Linked DNA regions of Astyanax mexicanus. The protein of the gene in region 1 interacts with the protein of each later gene in a pairwise test. Links are inferred from orthologs where the notes say so. Each region holds a gene or a part of one and is shown in the gene's direction. Other genes may lie near its edges. The genes, in order: MYCBP-associated protein and C-Myc-binding protein.

Evidence for each region.
Region 2: the proteins of MYCBP-associated protein (region 1) and C-Myc-binding protein interact in binary tests that used the Homo sapiens proteins (3 or more experiments, as listed by UniProt). The link is inferred for Astyanax mexicanus from reciprocal best matches to the Homo sapiens genes MYCBPAP and MYCBP.

The regions. Positions count from the first base shown.
Region 1 is NC_064428.1:37,593,070-37,608,766, forward strand, and holds the start of MYCBP-associated protein, read left to right. Parts: upstream 1-7,778; 5' UTR 7,779-8,032; coding exon 8,033-8,099; intron 8,100-15,697. Other genes in the region: si:dkey-27j5.5 (dexamethasone-induced Ras-related protein 1), read right to left, coding at 5,323-5,849, 6,596-7,049. UniProt on the Homo sapiens protein: May play a role in spermatogenesis. May be involved in synaptic processes.
Region 2 is NW_026040049.1:698,766-714,462, forward strand, and holds C-Myc-binding protein, read left to right. Parts: upstream 1-6,212; 5' UTR 6,213-6,322; coding exon 6,323-6,337; intron 6,338-8,236; coding exon 8,237-8,309; intron 8,310-8,918; coding exon 8,919-8,967; intron 8,968-10,399; coding exon 10,400-10,529; intron 10,530-12,187; coding exon 12,188-12,232; 3' UTR 12,233-12,450; downstream 12,451-15,697. Other genes in the region: gap junction alpha-9 protein-like, read right to left, coding at 13,624-14,877. UniProt on the Homo sapiens protein: May control the transcriptional activity of MYC. Stimulates the activation of E box-dependent transcription by MYC.

The DNA.
Region 1 (15,697 bases):
CATATGAGAGATTAACACTGCTGTTACCCCCTTACTTAATTCATACATACAGTACCCAGCATTCAGAGAACTCTTTATAAAAGCTCCATTTCTCCACACATATCTTCTGTTTTACTGGTTCCTCACTAAATTTATCTCCTCCTCTGCTGCTTCTTGGAATCCCCTCGTTTCTAATCCGCCCACTCTTCACGTTAGCGAGTGACGCAGCGTTTAGTGAAAACCGTACTCCTCCCTGAGCTCTCAATATGGATCAGAACACCGGGAGATCCGTCCTGCTCTGAATCACACGTCTGATCTCTAAAATTATTTATTATTCACGCTGAGCTCAGAGATTCACAGCTATTGTTCACATGGACTCATCCTGTATCTCCCAGAAATAAAAGTGTGAAATATACACGGGGTCTCCTCAGTGACGCTGGAGAAGAAGAAGAACGCTTTTTCACACTTTTACTGAGCTGAGAAATGTTTAAATAGATGAGTTTAAAATAGGATAAGCTGCTGCGATGTTGCTCATTTTTACACTTGACTCATTAATATCATTATTATATGTCTATCTGTCTGGAATGGTGATAAATAAAAGAGACAGTGGTGCGTTCGTTTTCTGATGACGAATTTTGGGAGTAACGTGAAATAAACCAATCAGAGCGTCTCTTGCTCATCATTCTTTTTAAGAGTAGATCAGGTGAGCTCTGTCTTTGGTGGATTGCTATTGTAACGGTGCAGCTACCTGGACGTGTTCAACAAACTCTTCTCAGCAGAGGAAACTGAGCTGCTGGTTGACGCTGTGAAGGAGCTCCAGCAGCTCATTTACGGGAACAGCAATGATATTTTATTTACTATTCTGTTGATATATTGTTGATGTAAAAGTTGTGGTGCCAAGATAGCGATGAACGTCGGACTGTTGACTGTTGTCAGGGTTTTAATCAGTCAGTGGAGCAAATCAGTCAGTTTTTTGTTGCCAAGATAGAGATAACAAATCTCCAGAAATGTACCTGAACACACCTCATTTCCAGAACACCACGCCCATCAGTGTAGATATATTCAGAAGATCTGCTGCTGTTTAAACCAGACACATGGTAGGCATGAAAATAGACTGTTGGTTTGGAAATGATTACGTTTTTTTTTTTTTTGTTCGACCCTGAGGAGCATGTTTTTACACTATGTCCTCAGGACCATGGGTGTGGTAGTGGGGGGAAAAGTGGACCTGACCACCCAGGGCCCAAGTAGAGAGAGGGGCCCATGAAAATTTTTGCTCACGTTCCTTGTGTACTGGCATGGATAGGGGCCCACTGTCACTGAGAGTGTACAGGGCCCCGAATTTGCTGCTACGCCCCTGCTCAGGACTGTCCTCCACAGCAGTGTGGGAGGATGTGTGATATGTGCAGAGCAGTGTGTTCTTTACACACACACACACACACACACTTTTCTGCAGTGATGGGTTCGGTGTGTATTTGTACCGATTTGTTCGTCTCAGGAGACTCAGCAGTGATTTTGTGACTGTAGCTGCCCGTCACTCCAGCATTCAAACACCAGTCACGACTACCTCTCTCACCAGAGTACATCTATCTACAGTACCAACAGTCACAAGTTTAGACACCCCTCTTCTCATTCTCATTCAGTGTGTTTTTTCTTCCTTTCTATGATCTTCTATATTGTAAATTTAATATTGAAGACTATATTTAATCTATACATTAACTCATGCTGAATTATTAAAGCAATAATATACTGGAGGTTTGTGCTATAATGTGTAATATTGGCACTGCTGAGGCCAAGTATAGAGTAGATCAGCACAGCGGTGCCAATATGACACGTTATAGCACGAACCTCCAGTGTATTATTGGGATATATTTATACCACAGTTCCACTATCACTGTTTATTGAAAGATTTTGAGATAAACCGGAGGAGACAATGCGATCTGTTTGGTTATAAAAACCCTGCCCGATAAAACAGTTTCCTTTGCTGCTCTGTTTGTACCTGCACTGTATTGTAGCTCTGCATTATCGTTCATTTCTGTCAAAATTGTGTAAATCTAATCTTACTGTAAATAAACAGAAGCGCTTTACTCACCCAAATAAACAGGTTTTAGGTGAGAAATCTGTGTAGATTAACATCCAGCACTCCTTTAACTAAAAGAAAATGTTTTTTTTTTTTAAGATTTAAAGTTCTGTTTACTTCGGCACACCCCCAGCAGCATAATATATACCCAAAAATATATACCCAATGCCCCAAAAATATTAACTGGAAAATATAAACGCTTATATGCTTTTATTTTAACAATAACAGCTCTTAACCTGATATTGGTGACTGATATGTGAATATGTGTAATAATGCGTATTTTTGAATCTTTACCTGCGCCGCCTATTGGAGACATGGCTTGGCGTTTCTACACTGTGTCTATGGGTTCCAACGGCCCCCAGAGGTATATAATGACATCGCATTTGGTTTGTATTTGGTTTGTAAGTGCTGCATTGTTGCTAGGTTAGCTGTATTTGGCGGAGTAAAACATGGAGAGCTTCGGTTACAGTGCATTACCGGCTGATAACGGCACTCATAAAGCGTCTTTCAGCCAATCGGAACTAACTGTGATGTCATTTTTAATAATAAACCAGATTCTGTTTTGAACTTTATACATGTATCTTTGAGTACAGATCTGAATACTCTTGGTGAGATTTTAATCTCAGTGTCTTCATGAGGGAGAGTCACAAGAATAGTTTTCTCAGCGTCTTGAAGGAAGGAGTTCCTGGAGGTGCTGAACAATAGCTGCTGCTTTTCCTTCATGCTGTGAAGCTCCCTCTCATCCCAATTAAATCACCTCAAATCACCTTAATCTCAGATCATCTGGTTTACTATAGCATGTGCATCTCCACATCTATCCCTGATTATAGTAAATATGTAGGATGCTATTGGACACGCATTTTTCCTTCTCTAAAATGTTATATAATATATTATAATAGCAGTCAGTGACCTGCAGATTCCCCATATAGTACATCCTCCCACCTACTCTCTCTCTCTCACCCACTCACTCTCGCGCTCACTCTCTCGCTCTTACACATCGCTCAGCTCTCTCTATTTCTGTTACACTCTGTACCAGACTCGCTTCCATTTATGGTGCTCTATCTGTTTCTCTCTCTAATACTCTCTCAAATTCTTTCTCTCGCTACACATTTCTCTCCTTTACACTCTCTTATGCTTTGTCTCTTACTCTCACTTTTACACTCTCTCTCTTACGCTTTGTCTTTCACTCTTACACCTTTCTCTTATGCTTTCTCTCTCTAACACTCTCTCTCATATTTTCTCTCTTTTACACACTCTCTCTCTGTCTTATGCTTTGTTTTACACTCTCTGTTACACTCTCTCACTCGTTTACATTCTCTCTTGTGCTCTCTTTCTCTTATACTCTCTTCCTCTTATACTCTCTTACACTTTTTTTACTCTCTCTCACACTTTCTCTCACTCTTACGCTTTGTCACACTCTCTCTTACACTCTCACTCTCTTACATTCTTGCTCTCTAGGCACTCTTGCTCTTACACTCTCTCTTACACACTCTTTTTCACTCTCACAGACTCTCTATTACACTATCTGTCATTAACACACTCTCTCTCTCTCTCACAGATCAGACTCAGAGTTATTTTTCAGTATAAAAATCGTTTATTGAAAATCTTTGCTCTGATCAGAACGTTCATGCAGTCTCCATAAATTACACACACATTTCTTCTACAGTGCTGGATCAGTGCTACAGTTCAGACGCTATACAAACAATAAACATATCAACAAACAAACAAACATATAAATAAATTAATTCATTAATAAATAAAGTTATAATAAACTCTACAGCAGCACAGCAGTGTTTACACTGATACTGATGGAAGGACACTGATGGTAATACAGTCTGTGTTTGATCTCAAGTAAAACATGCGTGCACACACACACACACACACACATTCACACATGTGCTGTTACCCGGATATCATTAACACTCTCGAATATGAAGGTTCTATTCAGGTTTCTTTAAGCAATGCTATAGAAGAACCATAAAGATCCAGTGTGAAGAACCGTATCAGGGCAATGTCTAATGCCAATGTTACTGTAATGTAGAATTGTAAGGACAGCTGACATCGATATCCTATTTTTTTTTTTTTACTGAAAACATCTAGCAAACATGAGACTGCAACTTTATTATTGGCAGTTAAATCAACGTAAGGTTGTAAGGTATGCTAAACTTCATAAAGTTAGCATCCGTACAACGTGAACTTCTTTAAAAAACAAACATTTGTATAATGTTTTTGACTTTAGTCCAATTTCCAACAAATATCATTTCTAACAGTTTTGTCATCAGTCTTACTCTCAATTTTAAATGTCAACCCAATGTTGGATTTTGTTGTTCTTTCATTTCAACGTCTAGAAAAATTATGGGTTTTGACATCAGTCCAGTTTTTTGGTTCAACCTAAATTTTGGAGTTCGATGTCAATCTAGCACTGTTTCCTAGCAGAAATGTGACCTTGATTGTCAAAGAAAAAACAAAAACATCTGTCTAAACCTGTATTTTGTCTGGTCCTTCATAGAACCTAAAGTAGTTGTTCTATAGGCCTGCCCATTCTTGTTCTATGGTATATAGCTAAAAAAAAAAGAAAAAAACCTTCATGTTTAAAAGTGTACCGGAATTTAAACAGGAAGAGGTTCGGTGTGAATGCAAACAAGAATCGAAATCTGGTTTAAGCTGGAGATCCAGAACAATTCCCTGCTTCAGGTGTAGACAGAAGCAGATACAGTACATTATCGGTGAACACAAAGTGGTTCTAGATCATAGACAAATGAAGTCAAGACTCCAGAGTTTAGATTAAGATTAACACATGTTGGACACAACAAGACTTGGAATTGGAAAATACTAATTACAAAATAAACTGGTTTGTTTCGGCATGCTGAATGCTTGATGTATTTTAAACTATGCCATCGTTACGCCATTGATGCTTTTGGCTCTATTACAGTACTGAAAATGGTTCTGTGACTTTCAGATGCAATCTAGCACCATTACTATATATATATATATATATATATAGATATGTATATATCTTTGCCTGGGTAGTATATAGTACCCGAAGACAGTCTGTGACTTGTTGGTGCGCTGTAAAACCCATTAATTTTAAATGATATAGGACTAAGAGCTTTCACAAGAGGTTTTTCAGGACATTTGAGGACCAGGTACAGGACCATGTAAAGGTTTCTTTGGGTGTTGATGGTTCCGCTGGTCTGCTACAATACAATACTGGTGCTATTGTCAGTTTTTTTAGTCAATAAGTCAAATTACTTGTTTTCTCAGAGTCACTTCTTTCCCGTCTTGCTCGTCCTCTTTTTGCCCTGCGTGGCGAGTACCAGCCGGAGGTCGGCGCTGACGCTGGGGCGGCGGGCGAGCGGGTGCAGTGCGCCGCACGGCGTATCGTGAGCCTCGGACTTCCTGCCCGCTGCCCCACCTCCCCACAGTTTGCGGTAGGACCGTAGGGACAGTCTGCGGTGGCGCGAGGGCCCGGTCTCCACGGGCAGCCCCGCCCGCGCCGCCAGCGCCTCGAACGCCCGCTCCAGACCGGCGCCTCCGTCCTTCGCCGACGTCTCGAACAGCGTGCAGGCGGAGTCTTTACCCCCGAAGGCGCGTAGGAGCTCGGCGCGCGACACGGCGCGCTCCGACGCCGGCAGGTCCGTCTTGTTGGCGCAGACGACCACGGGTACGCGAGCGCCTTCCGCCGAGCAGCGCAGCAGCGCGGTCTTAGCCTGGGAAATCTCTGAGCGCAGAGCAAGCGCCTCCTCAAACGAGTCACGGTCATCCACACTCAACACCAGCAGAAAGATATCACCTAAACACATATACACACACATACAGATTAGCGTCAATATTTATCCTACACAGTAGAAACAGCAGTTAAAAACTTAAAAACACTTAAAAATCACTTAAAAAACACTGTTAAATTGTTCAGTAGTTAAGAGATTACTAAACATTACTGAATTGTATTGCTTGAGAATTTTGATTAATACTGTCAATTATTACTAATAAATTAAAAGTGTGTAAAGTGGGTGTAAAGTATATTTTGTTCCATTACAAACTTTTTTTTTAGTTCTACAATTGGTTCATCTCAAAGAACACACCTGAACAGATTTAAAGAGTTTGATAAGGTTTTGTAGTATCCATTATCTATTAGAAAGATCAAAATCCATTAGAAAGAACTTAAAAACTAATAAAGGGTTCAACACAATCAAAAAATCAGAATCAGAGTTTTTAGTGCCTTAGGACCATTTATAATGGAGAACCTTTGAAATAGGTTGAAATATAGGATTCTTCTGTTTTAAATATAAAAAGTCAAATATTTTTCTTGTGTGGAGCTGAGGAAAAAACATTTGCTACCATTGTTAATTTAATTTCTCTTAGATAACTTTCTTGTTACCTTTGTGGTTTCAATATAATATAATATAGTAATATTTTGGTACCTTTTAAAGTTTCCAAAGTATTCGCTGGTACAGAACATTATTCTTTTAAAGAATTCTGTTTCTGGCAGCAGAAAAACAAAAATTACAGGTAACTAGTAAAGCATCAGCACGCGCTCACCTGTGAGGATGGTGAGCCTCCGTTTGGCGGGAAACTCGCGCTCGGCGGCCGGGTCCAGGATGTCTATCTGGTACGCCTCCCCGCGGATCTGGTATAGTTTCCTGTGAAAGTCCTCGCGCGTGGGCTCGTACCGCTCCTCAAAGTCCTCGCGCAGGAAGCGTCGCACAAGACTGGTCTTCCCCGCGCGCGGCGCGCCCAGCACCACCACGCGCCGGCAGTTCCGCGGCTTGGGCGCGAGCGCGGCGGACTCGAGCGGCAGGCGGCGCCGCCTCCGCTGCAGCACGAGCGCGGCGAGCTGCGCGAGCGGGGAGGAGCGCTGCGGGTCCTTGGCGGCGGCGCTCGCGCTCCGCTGCAGCTTTAATACGCGCATCCCGGCCTTGGAGAGCAGGTGCTGCGCAGCGCGCTTGTAGCCGATCAACAGGTGTTGAGAGCGCGCGGGAACCGGAACCTCCATATGTACCTTACTGCAGGTCTGTACCGAGCACGAGCCCCGCGCCCCGTTAATATACCGGAGAAACCGAGACCCCGCCCAGTGGGAGGGGCTTACAGACAGAGCGAGAGAGAGTCAGACGACAGAGATGGAGAGAGAGACAGTAAGTAAATAGACAGAGAGACAGAAAGTCAGACTGACAGATTCAGATGGACAGACTGACAGATTCAGACGGACAGACATACAGATAGATAGGTAGACAGATACATATATAGACATGCAGACAGACAGACGGAAAGACAGATAAATAGACAGACACACAGAAACGTAAAGAGACCGAAGAATACATAATTGGACAGACAGACAGACAGACAGACAGTTAGATAGATAGATAGATAGATAGATAGATAGATAGATAGATAGATAGATAGATAGATAGATAGATAGCAGAAGCTCCTATAAGATCAGTGTTATTATTCAGTAAAGGTGAGCGACAGATAGACAGCAACAGATAAATAGATGGACAGAAAGACAGAAAATAGGACAGATAGATAAACAGATACATATATCATACAGAGAAGTAGACAGACGGAGAGATCAAATGTAGGTAGAGAGACAGAAAGTCAGATAGATAGATAGACAGATAGATAGATCCTATAAGATTAGTGTTATTGTTCAGTGATAGTGAAGGTGAGCGCGCTCGTGCGCGAGCTCCCGTTGCCAGGGCTACCCCGGTGGCGTCCGTTGCTATGATACCGCAGGTGCTAGTCAGAGAGAGCTATAGCTAACCGGCTGCGGGTTTATTATTGTTTTTATTGAGTTTTATCGCTAGTTTATACAGTTTCTGTAGTGTGTATCAGCTCTATAACCCGTGTATATTATATCCGGGTGATTAAGCTCTGTGTTGAGCGCGCGCTGTGTGTGTTTGTGGCTGTAGTTAGGGCGGGTTATTAGAGCTGTGTGTTTGGTTGTTAGCTGGAGGCTAAGCTAACCGCGGATCTGCAGGCATGGCCAGTCCGGGGAAGTCGCTCAGTAAACCGGGTAAAAAAGAGCCCCGGTCCCGCTCCCCCTCCGGTAGGACCGCACTCACACCGACACTACAGACTAATACTATTAATATAACAAATATGTTATATTTAATTATACTGACTAAGCGTCTGAGAGTGAGGGGGATTACAGACACACAATATAACTGACTAATAATAATTATAAATCTGATTTATCTGAAAATTAGTTCTTATACTGGACTCTCATCTCCTTAACCCCGATCTTAGAACTGTCTATCTATTTTTTTCTGTGTGTCAGACTGCCTGTCTGACTGACTTTCTGTCTGTCTGTCTATATATATATATATATATATATATATATATATATATATATATATATATATATATATATATATATATATATATATATTTATTTATATCTATATCTGACTGACTTTCATTCTATCTGTCTACCTATGTATCTGTCGGTCTATCGATTATTACATGCCCTTAGTAATAAAATGATTACTGTAAGCTGATATAAAATGTGTTGTCTATCTATCTATCTATCTATCTATCTATCTATCTATCTATCTATCTATCTATCTATCTATCTATCTATCTATCTATCTATCTATCTATCTAGCTAGCTAGCTAGCTATCTAGCTAGCTATCTAGCTATATATCTCTCTATCCATTTGTCTCTCTATGTATTAGTCTTTATACCTACATGCATGCCCTCAGTAATAATATGATAACTGCTGAAAAATGTGTTAAAACGAATGGGGATAGCCTAATAGTGGTTAGGTTTGACAAAGAAAACAAACAAAAATCAATTTACTGAGAAAATCCAGCTTTTTTACCAGATTTTTACATTTGATGTTTAAACCTGCCTGCCTTTTCACTCTCTATTGTTGATGTCAACCCAATATTGTTTATACTGCCATACATATTCAAACCAAAATTATTTATTTTCAGGCAAAAAAATCCACATTTCTTAGAACTTTTCAGTGTAATGTGGTCATTTTCCTACTCAAACTCAACTTCTTCTTTTAAAATTTACCAGACTTAGATGGTACGATTGAGCAGGAAATCACCAAACTATGCTGGACCCCAAATCTTCAGAACCACAATGAATGTCTTGTGGCCCAGTGGACTACAGGTCATTTTTTTCCCATTCTTAATTGTTCTATAGGTGCTGGATGTTTTTAGTTATTTTAGTATTTATTTTAGTACTGGACTCTACTCACTTTTTGGCACCTAGTAACTGGCTTGTTTTCCATTATTAGAGCTCCCCAATGAAATGTGGCTGGAAACATTGAAAAAAACACAATCTTTAGAGTGATGATACAACCAGAGGTAATCAGGTATAAAGTAGAGTTGAGTCCACCTTCACTGAAGACTTGCTTGTTGGGTTAGCTTGGTAGGTTTAGTACTGACCAAACCTCTCAGAAAAGTGATTAGTTAAGTTTGCTAACCTACTTACCTGCTTACAGCTGGACATTGGCTCTAAACAAGAGTTCACACCTGTTGCAATGACTAAAGGAAGCGTAACAAGCTAGCTATGGGTGGCTTGACCCAATTCCCTGCCCAGTAAAAAGGCAAAAAGATGTGAATTGGTTCTTGCAGGGTTTAATAATTTAATATGTCAGTTGCACAGATTGAATAACTCTAATAAAACGTTTGGCTTTAGCTGGTGCAGGACGTGCCCTAGTTCAGATAAAAGGATCTGTAACAGGAACAATAAATAGGTTAGCATAAATAAGTGTGAATGCAGCTCTGCATGAACTGTAGTTTTCAGTAGACGGAAGAGAGGGCATAGGTTTGGTTTGAATGTTAAGTTGGAATTCCACAGATTGTTCTAAATGTATATGGATATTTTCAGACTCTCAAGCTAAATCAACATTTTGGCATATTCAGATTGATTTTGAAGTTTAAACAGCAAAAAATAGAAATGAAACCCAATTCCTTTCAGTCTGGATGAAAGGATGTGAAAAAATCTTTTGGAAGGTCCCAGTGATAATGCCAGGATCTGGTTTGCAAACCTGACTACTTGGGTCCCTAAGGTTGGTGATTTCTCTACCGAATCCCTTCCTCTTTGGCTTAAAAGTTTACCAGATTTAGGTGATATGCTTGAGCAGGAAATCACCAGACTACGCTGGACACCAGACCTCCAGTATCACAACAAATGACTCATCGATTAGAGTTGGGAACCATGGAGGTAGAAGACCTGACTACTTGATTTTCCTTTTCTGAAGGTTGGGTTCCTATATAGTCAAGTTCACTAGAGCCGAGTCTGAGTCAAGACCGATAGTTTGCTAGTCCAGTTTAAGTCAAGACTGATGTGGAGTTTTGGTCTCTAGAACCAGTTCCTTGGAGATTTCTAACAGACATCTTCAAAGGCAAATATACACCAAAAAACTATAATCTTGCCAAAATCTTAACAGTTAGATAGACAACAAATTTGATCTGTTAAAGCTTGGTAAAGTTTTTGGCATGTGCCTCTTTTTTTGGCCTAGGTTTGGTAATATCTGGACCTGCAAAGATCAGAGCCAATCACCTGAGCAACCAGATGGTGGTAGCAGGGAAGAACGTTGGGACACAGTAGAAAAAAAATTACGTGTGTGAAAGTAGAACTTTCACTGAACCTTACAGGTACATTGCCAGGGGTTTACTTCAAAAAACCAACCCAAAAGTTGGGTCTAGTCCTGAACAAACTTCTCAGAGGCGGAAGTGACATAAGATAGCTAACCTACAAACCTGTCTAGAGCTGGATGTTGGCTAACTGGGTCCACAATTGTCACAGTGACTGAAAGAAAAGACAGTATGGAATAAAGTATGGTCAGTAATGCATATACACCCAGAAAGTGTTGAAGAGAAAATGGTACGTTACAATGATGTGTCCTTGGTCAATCTTTTGACTGTAATTTTACAATAATTCAATATGTTGTAGTTGAAAAAGAGCAGGATTTTGCTTAAGTGAAGGGCGATAGCGTTGGAGCGAAATTCTGGCCTTGCAGAAATGAGGTAACAATGATGATGGTTTATGTAAAATCTGACCTGTGTAGCCTACTAACCCACTAAACTTTTCTATCTGGAAAGCGATTATGGTAAGGTACATTGGGAAAGAAAGAGATGGCGAATGTGAATGACTGGCACTGTTAGTCTGACTTCATTATCCAGTCTCTCCATTATGGACTGGCATAGTTTTATCTGAAACACAGCGGCATGAATTTGTGTCGTAATGCTGTTATTACTTTAAAACATTTTGGGTCAATCATCTATAAAGACTTCCTTCATATGAAAAGCAAAGGCAGAGGCGTTACGAAACCTGCTGTGCTCAGACAGCTTCATTTTCTTTGGGTTGCAAAGTACACTGCTAGACCGAGCACAAAATCTGAAGACTCTAAATACTCTAATTTTAATAAGGGTTAATCAATATTTAATAACACGCATTAGCTAAAGTTTAGCCTTTGCACACATACTGTATGAAATGGAGTGATCCTATTCTTAACCCATCGAGTTTTAGCTCTTATGTAAAGGCTTTCCACAAGGTTTAGGAATGTGTTTATAGGAATTTGTGAGGACTCCATGCAGGCCAGTCAAGTTCTTCCACACCAAACTCACCAGCTCATCCATATCTTTATGGATTGTGCTTTGGGGTTGTTCCCAAACTGTTCCAACAAATTTGGGAGCATAACATTGTCCAAAATCTCTTGGTATACTTAATAATTAAGTGTTAATTTCACTGGAACTAACTGTGGCAGAGCCCAACTCCTGTAAAACACCCGCACACTATAATCATAATGATCCCCCCTCTACCAAACTTTAAAATTTGCACAATGCAGTCAGACAAGTACTGTTCTCGATTCTTTCAGTAATGTTATGAAAGGGTGAGTGAATGAATGAGTGAATATATGTATACTATATAAAGAGAAAGCTCTTTTGGGTAGGTGGGAGGGCTTTCCGCAAGGTTTAGGAGTGTGTTTATTTGAATTTGTGAGGACTCTGTGCAGGCCAGTCAAGTTCTTCCACACCAAACTCACCAGCTCATTCATATCTTTATGTAGCTTGCTTTGTGCACTGGTGTGCATTATGCTTTTTATGTTGAAACAGGAAGGAGTCATCCCCAAACAGTTCCTTCAAAGTTGGGAGCATGAAATTGTAAAAAATCTCTTGGTATACCGAATTATTAAGAGTTAATTTGAGTAAAACTAAGGGCCCAAGCCCAACGCCTGAAAAACATCCCTACACTATAATCATAATTATCCCCCCTCTACCAAACTTTACAATATGTGCAATGCAGTCAGACAACTACTGTTCTCGATTGTTTTACTGATATGAATTAATGATATGAATGGATGAGTGAATACTTTTTATATACATAAAAAGAGAAAGCTCTTTTGGGAAGGCCTTCCACAAGGTTTAGGAGTGTGTTCATGAAACTTTGTCTCCATTTGACTCCATGCAGGCCAGTCAAGTTTTTCCACACCAAACTCACCAGCTCATCCATGTCTTTATGGACTTTGCTTTGTGCACTAATGTGAATTAGTCATGTTAAAATAGAAAGGGGTCATCCCCAAACTGTTCCTCCAATAATATGAGCATGAAATTTTTCAAAATCGTTTGGTATACTGAATAATTAAGAGTTTTTTTATACTAAAACTAAGGGTCAGAGCCCAACTCCTGAAAATGCTTTTTGAACATATAAAATACATATAGAGCTGGAATATAAAAAGCTACAGTCTCTTAAAGGTTGTACCAGGGTCTTGTTCTGCTAAAGCTTGTTTTGCTCAGCAACAGTACAGGTTGTGACAGAAGATGTTTGTGGGCGGAGCTTGAACAGGTCAGTTGTATTGGGTTTGGAGTGTACTGTTAAGTGCAGAGTCTATCTCTATCAGTCTGAGATCTCTCTGAAAGCACAGTCTGTCCTCTGTGGGAAGCCAGGTGAGCCTACATTGTTCAGTTTGAACAGGCAAAGTCTGTTTTTTACACCCGTATCTTATAAAAAGTTATTTTTTTAGGACCAAAATAGACTGAAAATTGTTGTCCTGCAGTTCTAGCCCAATACAGAATGTATGGAATTCTGTATTTGACAGATTGTTCAACTAAAGCTGCCCAATTTATAGAATTAAAAAATTGTATAGTTTTAGTAAGGTTACAGCAGGGGTTTGCTGCATGTTTAAAAATATTACATATCTATTTGTCTGTATTAATAATATCTTTTTTGTAGCACTTTATTTGGATGGTCCATTATAGACGCCTCACAAATGCTTAACTAACATTTAAAGGTAAATGTTTCTATATTGACTGACCCAACTCTGATGCTAACCCAATCCCAAATGCTAACATTTTAAGGTTTGGTTTAAAGTTTAGGTTAAGGTTTTGATAAGGGTTCGGTTTTACGGTTGATTCACAATTGAGGTTAGGTTTAGGTTTAGGTTTAGGTGTTTAGGATTAGGTTCTATAGAGAGAATCATTACATTTACATTTACAATTATTGCAACATATGTATTGTCCTTTATATGCTATTGTATACCAGGAAAATATTGATGATATATTGAGAATATCACAGTAATGTCAATTTGGTAACACTGCCTTTTAAGGATCACAAATTAGGGGCTTAAACATTTATACATTTTCTCAGAATGTGGCCTCAACCTTTTATGTAACATTAACAAAACCTTCCCAGAATGTTGCCTTGGAATTGGAATTGTCCCTTAACATGAACCTGCACAGTTTTCTTAACGTTCCCAGAACATTTTCCACAGTTCTGTGAATGAATAGGGACGTGGAAACTTTTTTTCTGTAATTCTGCAGGTTTTGCTGCTGGGGGGCAGCAATTAAAGTTAACACAACTTTAATTCTTAAAAACACAAATTCTTTTAAAGTTAAAGGTGTGCTGGACTTTAATCTACACAGATTCCTTTTCTGAAAACTGTTTATTTGGGTGAGTAAAGCTCTTAAGTTTATTTACAGTAAGCTTAGATTTATATAATGATAATCCAGAGCTTACTTTAACTGGCAGAGTTTTTATAACCAAACAGATTGTATTTTTCCCTCCTCATTAACTTTTTAAAATCTTTAATAAACAGTGATAATGGAACTGTAGTATAATCTCTACTGTCTCTACTGTCCAGAGAACACTAGACTAGACTAGATACTAGATACTACCAGAATTTAAGCAATAGTACACTCGAGGTTTGTGCTATAACATGTAATATTGGCACTGCTGTGCTGATCTAATCTATACTCGGCCTGAGCCCTCGTGCCTACGACCCCATCACAGCAGTGCCAATATTACACCTTATAACACGTACCTTAAGTGTTTTATAGCTTAAATGCTAGTAGTATCTAGTATCTAGTCTAGTCTAGTCTTCTCTGAACAGTAGAGACAGTAGAGTACTTTTTTCGTACGCCCCGTTATACAGGTTCTTAATATACAATGCAGTACAATCCAGAATCTAGTAATATCTAAAGCAAAACAAACATAATCACGATAAACTCTTTTAACGCCCCTGATTTCAGTAGAAACAATGCATGCGTAGGTGTGTTTTTCTGGAGGTGTCAGTAATTTGCAGTATTCTGACTCTGTTCTTCATGTTCTCTCCGAGAGCTGCCAGTTCTCTTTGTCGCTGGTTTCTGTCCTCGGTCGACTCTTTCAAATGTTCTCTGTCTTGGCATTCAGCTTCTTCCCTCTCTCTCCCTCTCTCTCTCTCTCTCTCGTTCTGATATGTTTCTTCAGGTCATGCAGTTCTTTATCAGTGTCTCTGTAATGCGCTGTCCTCCTCTTTTCTCTGCTGGTTAATAGCTATTTCCTGGTAGTGGCAGCCTGAGCTGGACTGGAGCTGATGATTAGAGACAGTATGAACCCAGGAGGCCTTATTTTAGTGATCTATAGCACACTGGTCAATGGTGAATAGTAGGGGTGTGCCATATCGTATCGTACGTGATAATATCGCCAAATATTTAAAATATCATAAACGATATTATACCCTGAAATATGGTACCATATCATCCACCCCTAATTATCACATCAGGGTTCTACTTTTTTTCTGTTTTTAGCAAAAGAAAAATTCACACTGTTCTCATTTCCCATTATATATCTACTAGAGACAGATTATATCTTTCCAGTATCATTTATTTTACGTTAATCCTGAATATATGGAGATATTTGGAGTGCATTATTATTATAATTAGTATCATGACATTCTGGATCATTGATCATTGGATCATATCATATTGCATGCAATAATAAAATTCTATCGCCAAAAGTATTGTTATCGTGAAAATACCATGAAATATTGTGATATTATTTTACAGCCACATCGCCCACCTGAATAGTGAATAGTGCAGCCTGATTTAGGGTGTGTCAGTGTGTCTTTGCTATCGTAACAACGATAAAAGTACTCCTTGCGTAGCTCGAAAAGCAGCGCAAAAGGCATGTACTAATTCTCTTAATTAATGATGGGTGTGGTTAATTTTGGGCGTAACATGAAATAAACCAATCAGAGTGTCTATTGCTCATCATTCTCTTTAAGAGTAGATCAGGTGAGCTCTGTCTTTGGTGGATTGCTATTGTAACGGTGCAGCTACCTGGACGTGTCCAACAAACTCTTCTCAGCAGAGGAAACTGAGCTGCTGGTTGAGTGTTCTGTTTGTTGTTGAGTTAAGTGGGGTGAACTC
Region 2 (15,697 bases), on another chromosome or scaffold:
CTTCTCAAACAACAACAACTGTTTAAATTTAATTACATAAAATTAGCCTTTTGTACTTAAACTCATTTTGTTGAAATAATAAACAATTCAATTTCTTTCTGTTCTCATGTTTCTTTAACTGAATTTACAATGAATAAATACTGAAATGAAGCCGAGCATTTACAAGAGCAGAGACTGACATGCCAATAAAAATTTAAAAACTATTTTTAATCATTTGAAATTAAAAGAAAATTTTATATAACAGTGAATAAAGATTAAAATAGGTAAAAACTAATCTTGCTATTTAATTGACACTAATAACAACTAGGGTAACATCTAGGGGGGAAAGTTTGATAAAGAACTTCAGGCTTGGAAAAGCGAAAGTTCTATGAGTATACCGATCATCACAGTTCTAACAACAAAAAAAATGCTTGAAATTTTTGATAGAAATGGATCCCTTCAGGGGACGTGTAATTTAGTTTAAAAGTGAAAAATTGACTTTTTTCCAAGGGTTGAAAAGACGTTGGTTTAAAGACTAAACGTCTAATTTAGGCTGACACTAAAAGGTGAAAAGACATTTTTCCAGTGGTTGAAAAGATGAATGTAGACACACATTATTTTTTGGTTAATTAACAGTAAAAACATATTTCATGTAGAAATGTCAATTGTTTATTTTATGTTTAATGATCTTTAAATTTTTATTTAATGCCACTTGTGTATGAAAACCTTTCACCCCCCCCCCCCCCCCCCCCCCCCCCAACAACCTACTGTTGCATAAGAAATTATTTGTAAGCTTATAGCTCTTAACTTTAAAATTTTAAGACATCCATGCTGTCCGTGCCACAACCCCGGACAACACACAAACCTTTCACAAATTGTAACCATGGAAAGTTTTTAAACTTAATGAAAAAAAATATTTATGATTAAAGAACCTTCTCGCTATCTAGTTAGCTAGGTTATCTAGTGTTAAACATGCAACAGTGAGGTTAAAATAGCTTTCACATGTCACCACATTTCAATATTTCAATAAGATCTAAAGAAGTTTCATAAACTTTTATCATACAATTTAAATCTAAACGATGAAACAAAAAAAAAATAACTATATACCATTTGCACTGATCATTCCTCACGGTCGGCCAAACAACTGGCTTTTTAACCTAACCAATCTATGCTAACTAGCTTAATGCTAGTTAACTCGGGCTCAGACTCCAACAAGGGTCCTATTTAACCTGGTTTGGTAGTAATAAAATGACACAAGTTACACAATAAAACTCAAAAATTGCAGAGTGGTGTTTTTTTTTAAACTTTACCTCATCTTAGCCTTATCAGCTAACCAAGCTAAGCTAACTAACCGGGCTAGTGTTAAGCTAGTTTAGTTACCTCAGGCTCTGGATCCACCACAAGTTCTGTTTAACTTAGTTTCATAATAAAAAATAAAATATATCTAGCTAAAGTTACACAGTAAAACCCAATCAATTGTCTTTTTTCCTCACAGTTACACAAAGTGTTGGTTTATTTTATTGGTTTATAACTATAATCTTGGTATCTTGGTATTAGACTTATCAGCTAACTAGGCTAAGCTAACTCGCTAACCGGGCTAGCGTTAAGCTAGTTCAGTTACCTCAGGCTCTAAATCCACCACAAGTTCTGTTTAACTTAGTTTCATAATAAAAAATAAAATATATCTAGCTAAAGTTACACAGTAAAACCCAATCAATTGTCTTTTTTTCTCACAGTTACACAAAGTGTTAGTTTATTTTATTGGTTTATAACTTTGTAATCTTGGTATCTTGGTATTAGACTTATCAGCTAACTAGGCTAAGCTAACTCGCTAACCGGGCTAGTGTTAAGCTAGTTCAGTTACCTCAGTTACCACAAGTTCTGTTTAACCCAGTTTTTTAATAAAAAATAAAATACAGCTAGCAAAAGTTGCACCATAAAACCAGGGAATGCGCTCTTTGCACAACTACTTCCCCATTCTCATCAGTGCTGCTCCAGCGTTTCCTGTTTGGCTTTTCCAATACACTCCTTATGGCAGTATTTTCAGCTGGTGTTTACAAGAGCTTCTAAAAATTAACCTCAACGTCCAGGAGACCAGTAAAGCCCACCACTAGTCTAATAATAATAATAATAATAATAATAATAATAATAATAATAATAATAATAATAATAATAATAATAATAATAATAACATTTATTAGACAAATACTAGCTATAATAATAAAAATGCTGGCTATAATAATGCCAACTATTATAATAATGATAGTAAAAATAATAATAATCACTATAAAAAGAATCATATACATGCTAGCAATAATAATATTAATAACAATAAAAATACTACCTACAATAATAATAATAATAATAATATTAATAACAAAAATAAAAATAGTCAAAATAATAATAATATCTAGCTACAATAATGATAATAATAATAATAATAATAATAATAACAATAATAATAATAACAATAATAATAAATATCTATAATAATAATAAATATCTATAATAATAATAATAATAAATATCTATAATAATAATAATAATAATAAATATCTATAATAATAATAATAATAATGATAATAATAATAATAATAATAATAATAATAATAATAATAATAATAATAATAATAATAAAAATATCTAGCTATAATAAAAATGCTAGGTGGTGGATCATTCAGGCAAGTACGTTTAGCTGATCTCCTCTCCAAATCACGTGGAGCCTGGGTGCTGTCACGTTAATTATTCCATTTAAAAAGCAGTGGCACTGCATGCTTTGCCAGTCGTCTCCAAGCTTCTGACGTTTTTGGTTTAACCAGGTAGTCTGGTATTAAATGTTTGCTACAGACCTTTCATACGGCGAAATGGTGAAGTGGTCCTGACTGATGTTCATCAGTCACTGTTTATTAGATCACTCTGAGCAGGGAAGCTATGAAAGCCTAAAGCTTCCATAAAACTTAGCAGACGCCGTGCAAAAAGGAACACAGCAGTGCTGAAAACGGCTTGAAAACCTCACGCTGGATACTCATTTTGACCTCTTGCTAGTACAAAATGTACGTTTTGCCTATACAGGCGAATGTAAACAATACAACCGGAAACGTCCGAGCCGCAACTTCTGCTACAACCTCAACTACAGGTCCAACAACCACAACCACACCTCCAACGACCTCAACCCCAGCTCCAACATCCTCAACTACAGGTCCAATAACCACAACTACAGCTCCAACAACCTCAACCCCAGCTCCAACAGCCTCAACTACACCTCCAATAACCACAACTTCAGCTCCAACAACCTCAACCCCAGCTCCAACAGCCTCAACTACACCTCCAATAACCACAACTACAGCTCCAACAACCTCAACCCCAGCTCCAACAGCCTCAACTACAGGTCCAATAACCACAACTACAGCTCCAACAACCTCAACCCCAGCTCCAACAGCCTCAACTACAGGTCCAATAACCACAACTACAGCTCCAACAACCTCAACCCCAGCTCCAACAGCCTCAACTACAGGTCCAACAACCACAACTACAGCTCCAACAACCTCAACCCCAGCTCCAACAGCCTCAACTACAGGTCCAATAACCACAACCACACCTCCAACAACCTCAACCTCAGCTCCAATAGCCTCAACTACAGGTCCAATAACCACAACTACAGCTCCAACAACCTCAACCCCAGCTCCAACAGCCTCAACTACAGGTCCAATAACCACAACTACAGCTCCAACAACCTCAACCCCAGCTCCAACAGCCTCAACTACACCTCCAATAACCACAACTTCAGCTCCAACAGCCTCAACTACACCTCCAATAACCACAACTTCAGCTCCAACAACCTTAACCCCAGCTCCAACAGCCTCAACTACAGGTCCAATAACCACAACTACAGCTCCAACAACCTCAACCCCAGCTCCAACAGCCTCAACTACAGGTCCAATAACCACAACTACAGCTCCAACAACCTCAACCCCAGCTCCAACAGCCTCAACTACAGGTCCAACAACCACAACCACACCTCCAACGACCTCAACCTCAGCTCCAACAGCCTCAACTACACCTCCAATAACCACAACCACACCTCCAACAACCTCAACCCCAGCTCCAACAGCCTCAAATACACCTCCAATAACCACAACCACACCTCCAACAACCTCAACCCCAGCTCCAACAGCCTCAAATACACCTCCAATAACCACAACTACAGCTCCAACAACCTCAACCCCAGCTCCAACAGCCTCAAATACACCTCCAATAACCACAACTACAGCTCCAACAACCTCAACCCCAGCTCCAACAGCCTCAAATACACCTCCAATAACCACAACTACAGCTCCAACAACCTCAACCCCAGCTCCAACAGCCTCAACTACACCTCCAATAACCCCAACTACAGCTCCAACGACCTCAACCCCAGCTCCAACAGCCTCAACTACACCTCCAATAACCACAAATACAGCTCCAACAACCTCAACCCCAGCTCCAACAGCCTCAACTACACCTCCAATAACCACAACTACAGCTCCAACAACCTCAACCCCAGGTCCAACAGCCTCAACTACACCTCCAATAACCACAAATACAGCTCCAACAACCTCAACCCCAGCTCCAACAGCCTCAACTACACCTCCAATAACCACAACTACAGCTCCAACGACCTCAACCCCAGCTCCAACAGCCTCAACTACACCTCCAATAACCACAACTACAGCTCCAATGACCTCAACCCCAGGTCCAACAGCCTCAGCTACACCTCCAATAACCACAACTACAGCTCCAACAACCTTAACCCCAGCTCCAACAGCCTCAACTACAGGTCCAATAACCACAACTACAGCTCCAACAACCTCAACCCCAGCTCCAACAGCCTCAACTACAGGTCCAATAACCACAACTACAGCTCCAACAACCTCAACCCCAGCTCCAACAGCCTCAACTACACCTCCAATAACCACAACTACAGCTCCAACAACCTCAACCCCAGGTCCAACAGCCTCAACTACACCTCCAATAACCACAAATACAGCTCCAACAACCTCAACCCCAGCTCCAACAGCCTCAACTACACCTCCAATAACCACAACTACAGCTCCAACGACCTCAACCCCAGCTCCAACAGCCTCAACTACACCTCCAATAACCACAACTACAGCTCCAATGACCTCAACCCCAGGTCCAACAGCCTCAGCTACACCTCCAATAACCACAACTACAGCTCCAACGACCTCAACCCCAGCTCCAACAGCCTCAACTACACCTCCAATAACCACAACTACAGCTCCAACGACCTCAACCCCAGCTCCAACAGCCTCAACTACACCTCCAATAACCACAACTACAGCTCCAACAACCTCAACCCCAGCTCCAACAGCCTCAAATACACCTCCAATAACCACAACTACAGCTCCAACTACATAAACTACAACTACAATCACAGCAACAACTACAGCTGTATCCACTACAACAACCATGCAAGAACAGATCCAGTTCTACCATGAGATTAATTCAAATCCTTAACTACAACTGATACAAGTGTAGACCGTGTTGGTGTGGTATTGAGTACAGTGTGGTTACTGTAGACCGTGTTGGTGTGGTTTTGAGTACAGCATGGTTACTGTAGACCGTGTTGGTGTGGTATTGAGTACAGTGTGGTTACTGTAGACCGTGTTGGTGTGGTATTGAGTACAGTGTGGTTACTGTAGACCAAACACCAACACCAGAAATGAAAACATTGACTGAAGTGACATTGCAGCAACGTTAGAGGAATGTTTAAATACGTTAAAACGATAACGCCGGCTGAACCTTCGACTATGCCTGCTTTACCTCCGAACACATCTGCTGCAACTTTAACTTTTTTTTTTTTCTTTACCTCAGTGTACTGGTTTAAAGTTACTGGTTTAGGAATAATTCATTGCATTTCACAATTATAATTTCATAATTTTTATTTATTTATTTATTTATTTATTTATGATTTATATTATATGAAATAATATTATATTATATTGTAATTAAATTATAATCTTTTTATGTACTATTTATTTATTTTGATTTATATTTCATAATTTCTATATTTTATGTGTTGTTTTATATATAGTTTTTTTATTTTTATATATTTTTTTATTTTGTTAAGCTATGTATTTATTATTTTATTGTATTCTTTTTTACATTAACATATATAATTTGTTGTGAGTGTATGTGGGCGGTTCTTGGTTGCCAGGGCGACGGTGTGTCGTGTTCCGGTGTTTGGCGCGGTGGGGTAGCGCGCATGCGCGGGCTTGGAAGGTAAGTTAGAAGGTTAGCAGCGGAGCTGAACTCCTGAACTCTGAGAGGAATTAAACCCGGAATGGCGCATTACAGGGTGAGTACCGGTCCAAACAGCACCGAACAGAACCGCACAGCGGTACACAGCCCGCCCGGACCCGAACAGCCGCGGAGTTTAGGGGAATTTATGGTATTTATGGTAGTTAATACCGGCGGAGAGATGCAGGAAGCTAAAGCTAATAATTTACCTCAGAACCGCCGCGGGTTCCGACCCAGCTCACAGCTCTTCCCTTCTCCAGAACACCCTCACAGCTCCCGAACCGCGGCCCACAGGTTCCGACCCAGCTAATATACCAGAACCGTCGCGGGTTCCGACCCAATGCAGCCCGTTTTACAGCTCCAGAACCCAGCTCAACTCTACCGACCACCTTAACCAGTTTAATTACTACTAATTACCTGTCCAGATACTAATTACCAGTGTAGATACTAATTTCCAGTTTAGATACTAATTTCCAGTGTAGATACTAATTACCAGTTTAGATTAGGGGTGGGCGACATGGCTCTAAAATAATATCACGATATTTCAGGGTATTTTTGCAATAACGATATACTTGGTGATATAGGAAAACAGAAATAATTTGTTAATTTTAGTAATATAGTATAATAGTATAACAGTATAATCATAATGTGGCAAAATAAATAATATAGCATAAAATAATATAATCCAGCAAATAATATAGCAGAATATTTAGTGCATGCATATAAACTGCAAACTAAAACAATTATACAATAAATACACCTAAAGCTTCACAGTAAATAATAGACTACTTTTAAGACAGAACAGCCCTGTTATCACGATATGGATTTTTATATCATGATATTTCTGTGTCACGATATATTTTATACGATGTAATATTGCCCACCCATAGTTTAGATAGTAAATTTCAGTTCAGATGCTAATTACCTTTGTATATAGTGATTACAAGTGTAAATACTAAATACCAGTGTAGTGTAGATACTAATTACTTTAAATACTAAGGACCCATTAGGGGTGGGCAATATTATGTCGTATACAATATACCCTAAATTTCCTTCGGGATAAATAAAGTATCTATCTATCTAGTGACAGAAATATCATGATATTAAAAATCCATATCGTGATAATAGGGCTGTTCTGTTTTAAAAGTAGTCTATTATTTACTGTGAAGCTTTAGGTGTATTTATTGTATAATTGTTTTAGTTTGCAGTTTATATGCATGCACTAAATATTCTGCAATATTATTTGCTGCATTATATTATTTTATGCTATATTATTTATTTTTATCAGATCTTTACCTGCCTGTATAACCAGACCCCTCCCCCCACTGCACACCTGTGTCTGAGCCAGCTCACCTGATCCCACGATAAGTGATGATTATCTGACCAGTCCTTCACCTGCGCCTTTATTTTTTTTTTCTAACTGCGTTTTGTGTGTAGAAGTGCTGAGTGAAATAAATATAAATAAAGAATTCTGGTCTGATGCTGTTATACACATTTATAACTTAAAGAGAGACTACACACACCGGTACAACTTTATAACTTTATCAATTTATTGAAAATATATTAAAATTAGCTTAAATCAATGCATTTCACATATACATATAGTTATACATAGTTTTTTTTCCCAGATTATCAAACAAACATGAAGATAATCTGAGTAAATATAGGAATCACTTTTAAAATGATAATTTCATTTATTATGGGAAAAAAACAGGCCTGATAACTGCCAGAACTGCACTATCAAGAGATCACTTCATGTCTGGGTATCTGTTCGTGACCTCAAGCTCAGGAGTACTTGGGTTCTGCAGCAGGACAATGAACCAAATCACACAAACAGCAAGTTCACTGTCTCTGAATGGATTAATAAACTAAATGAAGGTTCTGGAGGGTTAAAGTCTGATTGAGATTGAGTATTATTGTTAATTTATGTATTTATTATATGAATGATGTGTTTCAGGCTGCAGAGTCGAAGCGTGAGCAGTTCAGGAGGTACCTGGAGAAAGCTGGAGTTCTGGACAGTCTCACTAATGGTGTGTTCTGCTCTATACAGCTCTATCTGTTATAGTTATAGATGTATACAGCTCTGAAAAAAAATAAGATTCCACTTATGATGATGATCACAAACCATCAAACCACCAAACTGAACTGCTTGAATTTTTGCACCAGGAGTAAAGCAGCATAAAGTTATCCAAAAGCAGTGTGTAAGACTGGTGGAGGAGGAGAACATGATGCCAAGATGCATGAAAAAAACTGTGATTAAAAACCAGGATTATTCCACCAAATATTGATTATTTCTGAACTCTTAAAACTTTATGAATATGAACTTGTTTTCTTTGCATTATTTGAGGTCTGAAAGCTCTGCATCTTTTTTGTTATTTCAGTCATTTCTCATTTTCTGTAAATAAATGCTCTAAATGAGAATATTTTTATTTGTAATTTGGGAGAAATGTTGTCTGTAGTTTATAGAATAAAACAACAATGTTCATTTTACTCAAACATAAACCTATAAATAGCAAAATCAGAGAAACTGATTCAGAAACTGAAGAAGAGCTCTCTATTATAGAGAGCTTTGTATAATACTATATTCCGTATATTTTTGTAGAGTGTTCCGTCACTAATCATTTCCCCTTTTCTAACAGTGCTGGTGGCTCTGTACGAGGAGACGGATAAACCCAACAATGCTCTGGAGTATCCTTTATCCTCTGCTGGGTTACATGTAGAGCTTTATATCACAATTACATTGTTTTACTCAATACTATATAAATAAAGGGCACACCTTAACAAATTCACTTTTAAATGAAATTATCCAACATCTCTGCTGGATTTTCTCAGTCAGTTTTATGAGGTAGAGTCACCTGGAATTCAGGCTTTCAGTTAACAGCTGTGCTGAACTCATCAAGAGTTAATTACTTGAATTTCTTGTCTCTTAATAAAGTGTTTGAGAGCATCAGTTAAAGTAAAGTAGTTAAGAGGTAGAGTTACAGGTATACAGTGAATAGTGAATATTTGAGTAATGTTCTAATCCAGATTATGAGAAGCAACAACTACTCAACTAAATAAAGAATAAATTACGTTAAGAAGAAATGAAGGTCAGTCATTTAAAAAAAAAGAAGAATTTCAACAACTGATAATGATGAAACTGGCACTTATCAGGACTGTATATGAAAGGAAGAGCGAGAGTTTCCTCTGTTGTACAGGATAAGTTTATCAGAGTTTAATCTAAATACTTCACAGAGTATTTTGGTTTGTTTAACACTATTTTTAAGTTACTACATGATTCATTATGTGTTCCTTCATAATCTGATACATCACTTTACTATTCATTTACTGTGTAGGAAAGCTGTGTCCAAACTTTTGACTTGAGTAAAGTATCTGTACATTACTCTAGTTTCCAGTTATTAATATCAGAACTCTGGAATTAATGCACTCCTCAGAGATACGATAAATACAGATATCCAATTATTGTCCAGTTCTATTCAGATGGTTGTTAGATAAGGTAGTATGGAGTTAAATTAGTGCTAAATCTATGCAAATAAAGAAAACATATTCTGTAAATATTATACTACCTGCAATGATACACAACACATGTTATATTTCTTTAAGAGCAATGTATTAGAAAAACTGAACGCTGTGTATTTATTTAAAGGTTGCATATATATATATATTTATATGTTTACATATATATTTGTAAAACACACCCTGTGTGTTAGATAGTTGTGTTTTATATTTGTAAAGCGAGTTGTGTTTGTTTGCAAGTAGTATAATATTTAAAAATAAGTTTTCTTTATTTGCGTAGTTTTAGCACTAATTTAGCTTCATAAGGTCAATCAATCAATCTTTATTTTAACTCGGATGTACATTGAGGAAAACCCTCATTTTTAATGTAGCCGAGCATTTACAGAAACAGGGATGGCAGAGAAAATAAGAGCAAAATGTAATTATTTTAAAATAACGGTATATAGTGTGTAAAAATAGATACAAAAATAAAAATGTAATTAGAATAAAATACAAATAATAATTAAAAGGTAGTGTTGGCAGGGTGTGATGTCTGTAATTGTGAGCGGGCAGGTACCTGAGTTCCCGAGAGAAGCGTTGTGGTCCTGAGTCAGATCTCCCGCAGGTTTATACGGCTGCACCTGAGCACAGGTGAGCCGGACTCCGGCGACGTGGAGACGCTGTGTCTGGAGCTGACGGAGCTGCAGCAGAAATACGACGCTCTGCTGGAGGAGAACCGAGACCTGAAGAACCGGGTAAAGCTGATTATACACTAGATAACTTCAAACAGACTCCGAAAAAAGACGTTAAAAGACTAAGTTCTGATTCTCATTCACATCTAAAGACTAACGCTACGTTCACATTAGCAGGCTAAAGTGACTCAAATCTGATTTTTTCACGGTTGTGTGAACATGCCAATTATGATTTCTTTTTTTCTTTTTTTTCACAAATCAGAATTAAGTCACTTTAGCTACATTCACATTAACAGGCTAATGTGACTTAGATCTGATTTTCTGATTCATGGTTGTGTGAATGTCACTTTGACTACGTTCACATTACCAGGATTAAATTGACTCAAATCAGATTTTTTAATAATAATAATAGGCTCAGGTCTAATTTTTTTTCACGGTTGTGTGAACGTACCAAATCTGTTTTTTTTTTCTTCAAGTCATTTTGACTTTACCAAGATAAAGTGATTTTTTGATCAATGTGGATCAGATCTGATTTTTTTCCATGACTGTGTGAATGTTCCAAATCTGATTTTTTCAACTCAGATTTGAGTCCCTTCGGCTACGTTCACATTAGCAGGCTAAAGTGACTTTTTTCACAGTTGTGTCAATGCACCAAATCCAATTAGTTATAACTATTATTTCCAAATCAGATGAGAGTTATTTGGCTACATTCACATTACAAGGCTGCAAAAAAGAAAATTATCATGTAAAAAGTGATTTTTTTATATTTAATCAGGTTATATTTGTTCGATTAAAGTTCTGATTTTGTTTGATAATCAAAAAAATATCAAGTATGACAAAAAAAAAGCAAAGGCCAAAGAAATCTGTAAGGGGCCAATACTTTTTCCACACCTTTACTGTGTATACTTAAAATTATAATTTTAAAAAATAATGTCCTGTAATATCTTCAAGAATATCATTATCACAAAAAATCATTTTGATTTATCAGATTTATAGACTATAGTAATCAGAGTGTGCTGCTTACATCACAGAACAATTTTATAGACTTTACTCTGATCTCAGAATAATCCGATTTTGCTGTTTACACAACTAATAGAATAAGCGTATAGCTGCATAAATCTGATTATAATTGGATGTCTGATTACATGTGAAGAAACAAAGAGCCCTATCTGGATGGGATTAGTTTTTTAGGCGGTTCTGGGTAATTTTCTCTATTTTATGTTTTTTTTTTTTATCCTCTGTGATTTTATTCCCGTCCAGAACGATCATGTTTGTGTTTTTCTCAGACGTCCTCTGAGAAAATTACAGGCTGAATTATCTACTGTTTTTCTCTGAACTCCGTGCTCCTCCGGTAATTTTAGTCCTGTCCGGACGCACATCTCTGAGTTTCGTCTCCTCGCCTTTAATAAAATAGATATTTATCCACTGCCGCGCACCGTAATTACACTTTGGGTGCGCCACGGTTTCCATGGAGATCCACGTTAAAAACACAACAGCGACTGGAAATGGAGGAGCTACTGAACACCGATGATGTCATGTGATCGAGAAAGATTAAAGCCTAAAAACTCACTGGTCCTCCTGTTTTTACAATTGCATTCCGAATTCAGAAGTTGTATCACAGAGTAGAAGTGTGAAATATTTTACACAGACTCCGCTTTTGGATAATTTTGATATTAAGGTTCTAATGTTCTGATGGTTCTGTGTGGTTCTGTCTCCTGCAGCTGCTGCAGTACGAGCCGCCGGTGGAGGATGGAGCAGCAGAATGAGGATCAGGAGGATCTGGGTTTAGTTATTGAGTTTATAGAGTTTATAATTAACGCTGTGTGAAGAATGAGGGGGTAATATTTCAGTTTTTTGATTCCTGCACTTTTATATTACGTTTTTTACAAAACTGGGAATGGTGAATTTTTGTTTGTAAAACGAATGTGGTATTGAATTTAGTTTCCTAAACACCTACACTAAATATATTATTGTTTCTGCATCACTTCCTGTGTCTGAGACTCGTTTCTGTTCCTTAAAGAAGAAAAACTAGAATAGGAGAACCTCTGTCTTACACTATACACAAGGCACTCGTGGTTCAAATAGAAATAAAAAACACTTCATGCTTCCTATACTTTTATTGAGATGCTGATTTCATTTTCCAGCAGGACTTGGCACACTGCCAAAAGAACCAATTGGTCTTAAATAATATTCTAATATTCTGGCTGTAAGATATAGTCATCAACAATAAAATAAATAAACGCTTAAAATACATCACTCTGTGTTTAATACATCTATATAATGTATGACTTTCACATTTTCAACTGAATTACTGAAATAAAAAGTCACATTTCAATGATTTCAAATATTAATTTTTTTGAGATGCATTAGTATTGTGTGTGTGTGTATATATATATATATATAGTGTGATCAACATAACAAAGTGTACAAAAGTGTACAAAACCAATTTCATTATTACGCACAAACTTTTCCTATTTGTTTAAAAATGAATGTGTTGTTCACAAGATGCTGCTGTGAGTCACTACATGATGTGGTGTTTTTTCTTTTGAGAAATTAAATTATTATCTGAAAACAAAGAGAAAAAACTTTAGCATTATATATTCTAAATATAACAACATGCATCACAAAATCCACTGATGAATATTACTGATGAACCCAGGCTAATAATAAGTTAATTCCAGTCATTTCGTTATTAAAGCAAAGTTTCTAGAGTTGAAACACAACCCTTAAAACCTGAATCCAGGTGTTTGATTTAGTCCCATTATCACAGGTGTATAAAATACAGACCCTACAAGTGAAAGAGAGGGGGCGGAGCTAAGAAGGATGACACTGGGTCGGAAACCGAAGTTGATGTGCTTGTTAGATTGTATTCTGTACGTTATTTAATCCGGTTACTTTCGGTTATAAGTCTGAACTGTCCAAAAAAGTGTTTACTCTGCAAACCAACCAGACTATTGATCGGTAGATAACATTTTTCCGATCAAATTTTTGTCCTTTGGTCCAGACGGTGGTCTGAAAATTAAAAATCTCTGGACTGATCAATAAGTGTTCCGAAACGGTAGTCAGAGCTGCCATCAAAACAGCTTCTGTAGGTGGAACGTGGAGACGTCTCAGAACTTGTCCCTGGGTTAGATAATGCTTTAGGGCAGGATTTTTTTCAGATCTGCAGGTCTGTGGCAGCTCTCCTGCTGCTGACACTGCTGGCCGGCGATGTCCTGCGGTTAGCAGATAGAGCAGGACTGTGGCGTGAGTCCGAGCTCCTGTCCGCTGCAGAATCTGGCGTCTGTGGTCGACTGGACCTTCTGGAGTCCAGTTTAGGGAAGGACCGGCAGTGGACTACAGGTTGACCAACTCGTGGGTGAATTCCTGCGCCCGCTAAGCTGCTGCAGGACTCTTCGCTGTCGGAAGCGTTGCCTTCCATCACAGTACTGCAGTTCCATGGACCGCTGACCTTGCGGGCTCTGCGGGTGGTGTTAGTTGGACAGGTGGTGGGACAGGAGGCGGATTCAGTTACCAGAAGCGTTGGGTACTCTGAACTTTCGGTCTCAAGCTCCTGGGAGTCCTCAAGGAGTTGTTCGGGTTTGTCCGCACGAGAGCGAGCCTCGTTGCTGGTGTTGTTGGAGTTGCTGTTGTGTTCTGTGGGACTTGGACCGCTGGTCTTGGGGTCCTTCTGACCATCTGATCCTGGTCTTCCTCCGGCATGACTCTCCAGCTTGACAGGCTGGAATACAGAAGACCCGCTAACCAGAGGTGGGTAAGCCGGTCCGTTGGCTTGCTTCTCGTGCAGCAGCGTGTATCCACTCGGTGCGGTCGGGATCGTCGATTTGCGCCCTTGGCTGATGCACACTTGGTGCACCACTGAGTTCTTTTTGGACTTGGCACCGTAGCAGTCATCTAGATCATCCTTTAAGTGCGGGTAGAACTCGAGAATTCCCTTCTTGATCTTCTTGTACGCAAGGTGCAAGATCTCCAGCAGGCTGAGGAAAAGGGAAACAGCGGCGATGATCTGCATGAACACCATGAATACGCTTTTCTCGGTTGGACGAGAGACGAAGCAGTCCACCACGTCCGGGCACGGCTCGCGCTCGCACTTATACAGCGGCTGCAGCTGGTTCCCGTACAGGAGTTGCTGGCCGAGCATGAACCCGACCTCCACCACGGACCGGGTCACTATGTGAGCGATGTAGGTCCTCAGTAACGACCCCCGTAGAGGAGCCTTGTTCAGTTTTCCCTGCTCTATCTGCCTCATCTCCCTCTCTATCCTCTTACGAGCCTCGGCATGATCCGGGTCCAGTCCCTCCAGCTCCCGCCGCAGCGCCACCTTCTTGCAGTGCCGCTCTTTCTCCAGGGCTCTCAGCTGGTAGATGGCGTGGCCCATGTAGACAAGCGAGGGCGACGAGACGAAGATCACCTGTAACACAAACTTATAATTAGTCAGACAAATTTAGCTAGTGCTAAACTGTTACTCAAACATTATTCTAATATTTGACATTTAGTTTATTTGTAATCCAGCAGTTCACATTACTGGTCCTGACTGCTCTGCTCCAACACACCGAAATATACACAGGAATGGAACTCAGGATAACCTAAGGACCACCTATCTACGGTTCCTCTTCCATTGCAGGGCTGGAAGGTTCTGTGGACAATGTAGAATTTGTTAGTAAGTTGGTTGGTTGATTGGTTTTATAGTTAGTTTGTTGGTTGGTTGGAATATTGGTTGGTTGTTTAGTTAGTTGGTTGGTTGGTTAGATGGTTACTGACCTGCAGGACCCAGTAGCGGATCAGGGAGATGGTTGATTAGTTAATTAGTTAATTGGTTGGTTGATTGGTTAGATGGTTTCTGACCTGCAGGACCCAGTAGGGGATCAGGGAGATGGTTGATTGGTTAGTTAGTTAATTAATTGGTTGGTTGGTTAGATGGTTTCTGACGTGCAGGACCCAGTAGCGGATCAGGGAGATGATTGGTTAGTTAGTTGGTTGATTGGTTAGTTAGTTGGTTGGTTGGTTAGATGGTTACTGACCTGCAGGACCCAGTAGCGGATCAGGGAGATGGTTGATTGGTTAATTAGTTACTTGGTTGGTTGATTGGTGAGATGGTTACTGACCTGCAGGACCCAGTAGCGGATCAGGGAGATGGTTGATTGGTTAGTTAGTTAATTAGTTACTTGGTTGGTTGATTGGTTAGATGGTTACTGACCTGCAGGACCCAGTAGCGGATCAGGGAGATGGTT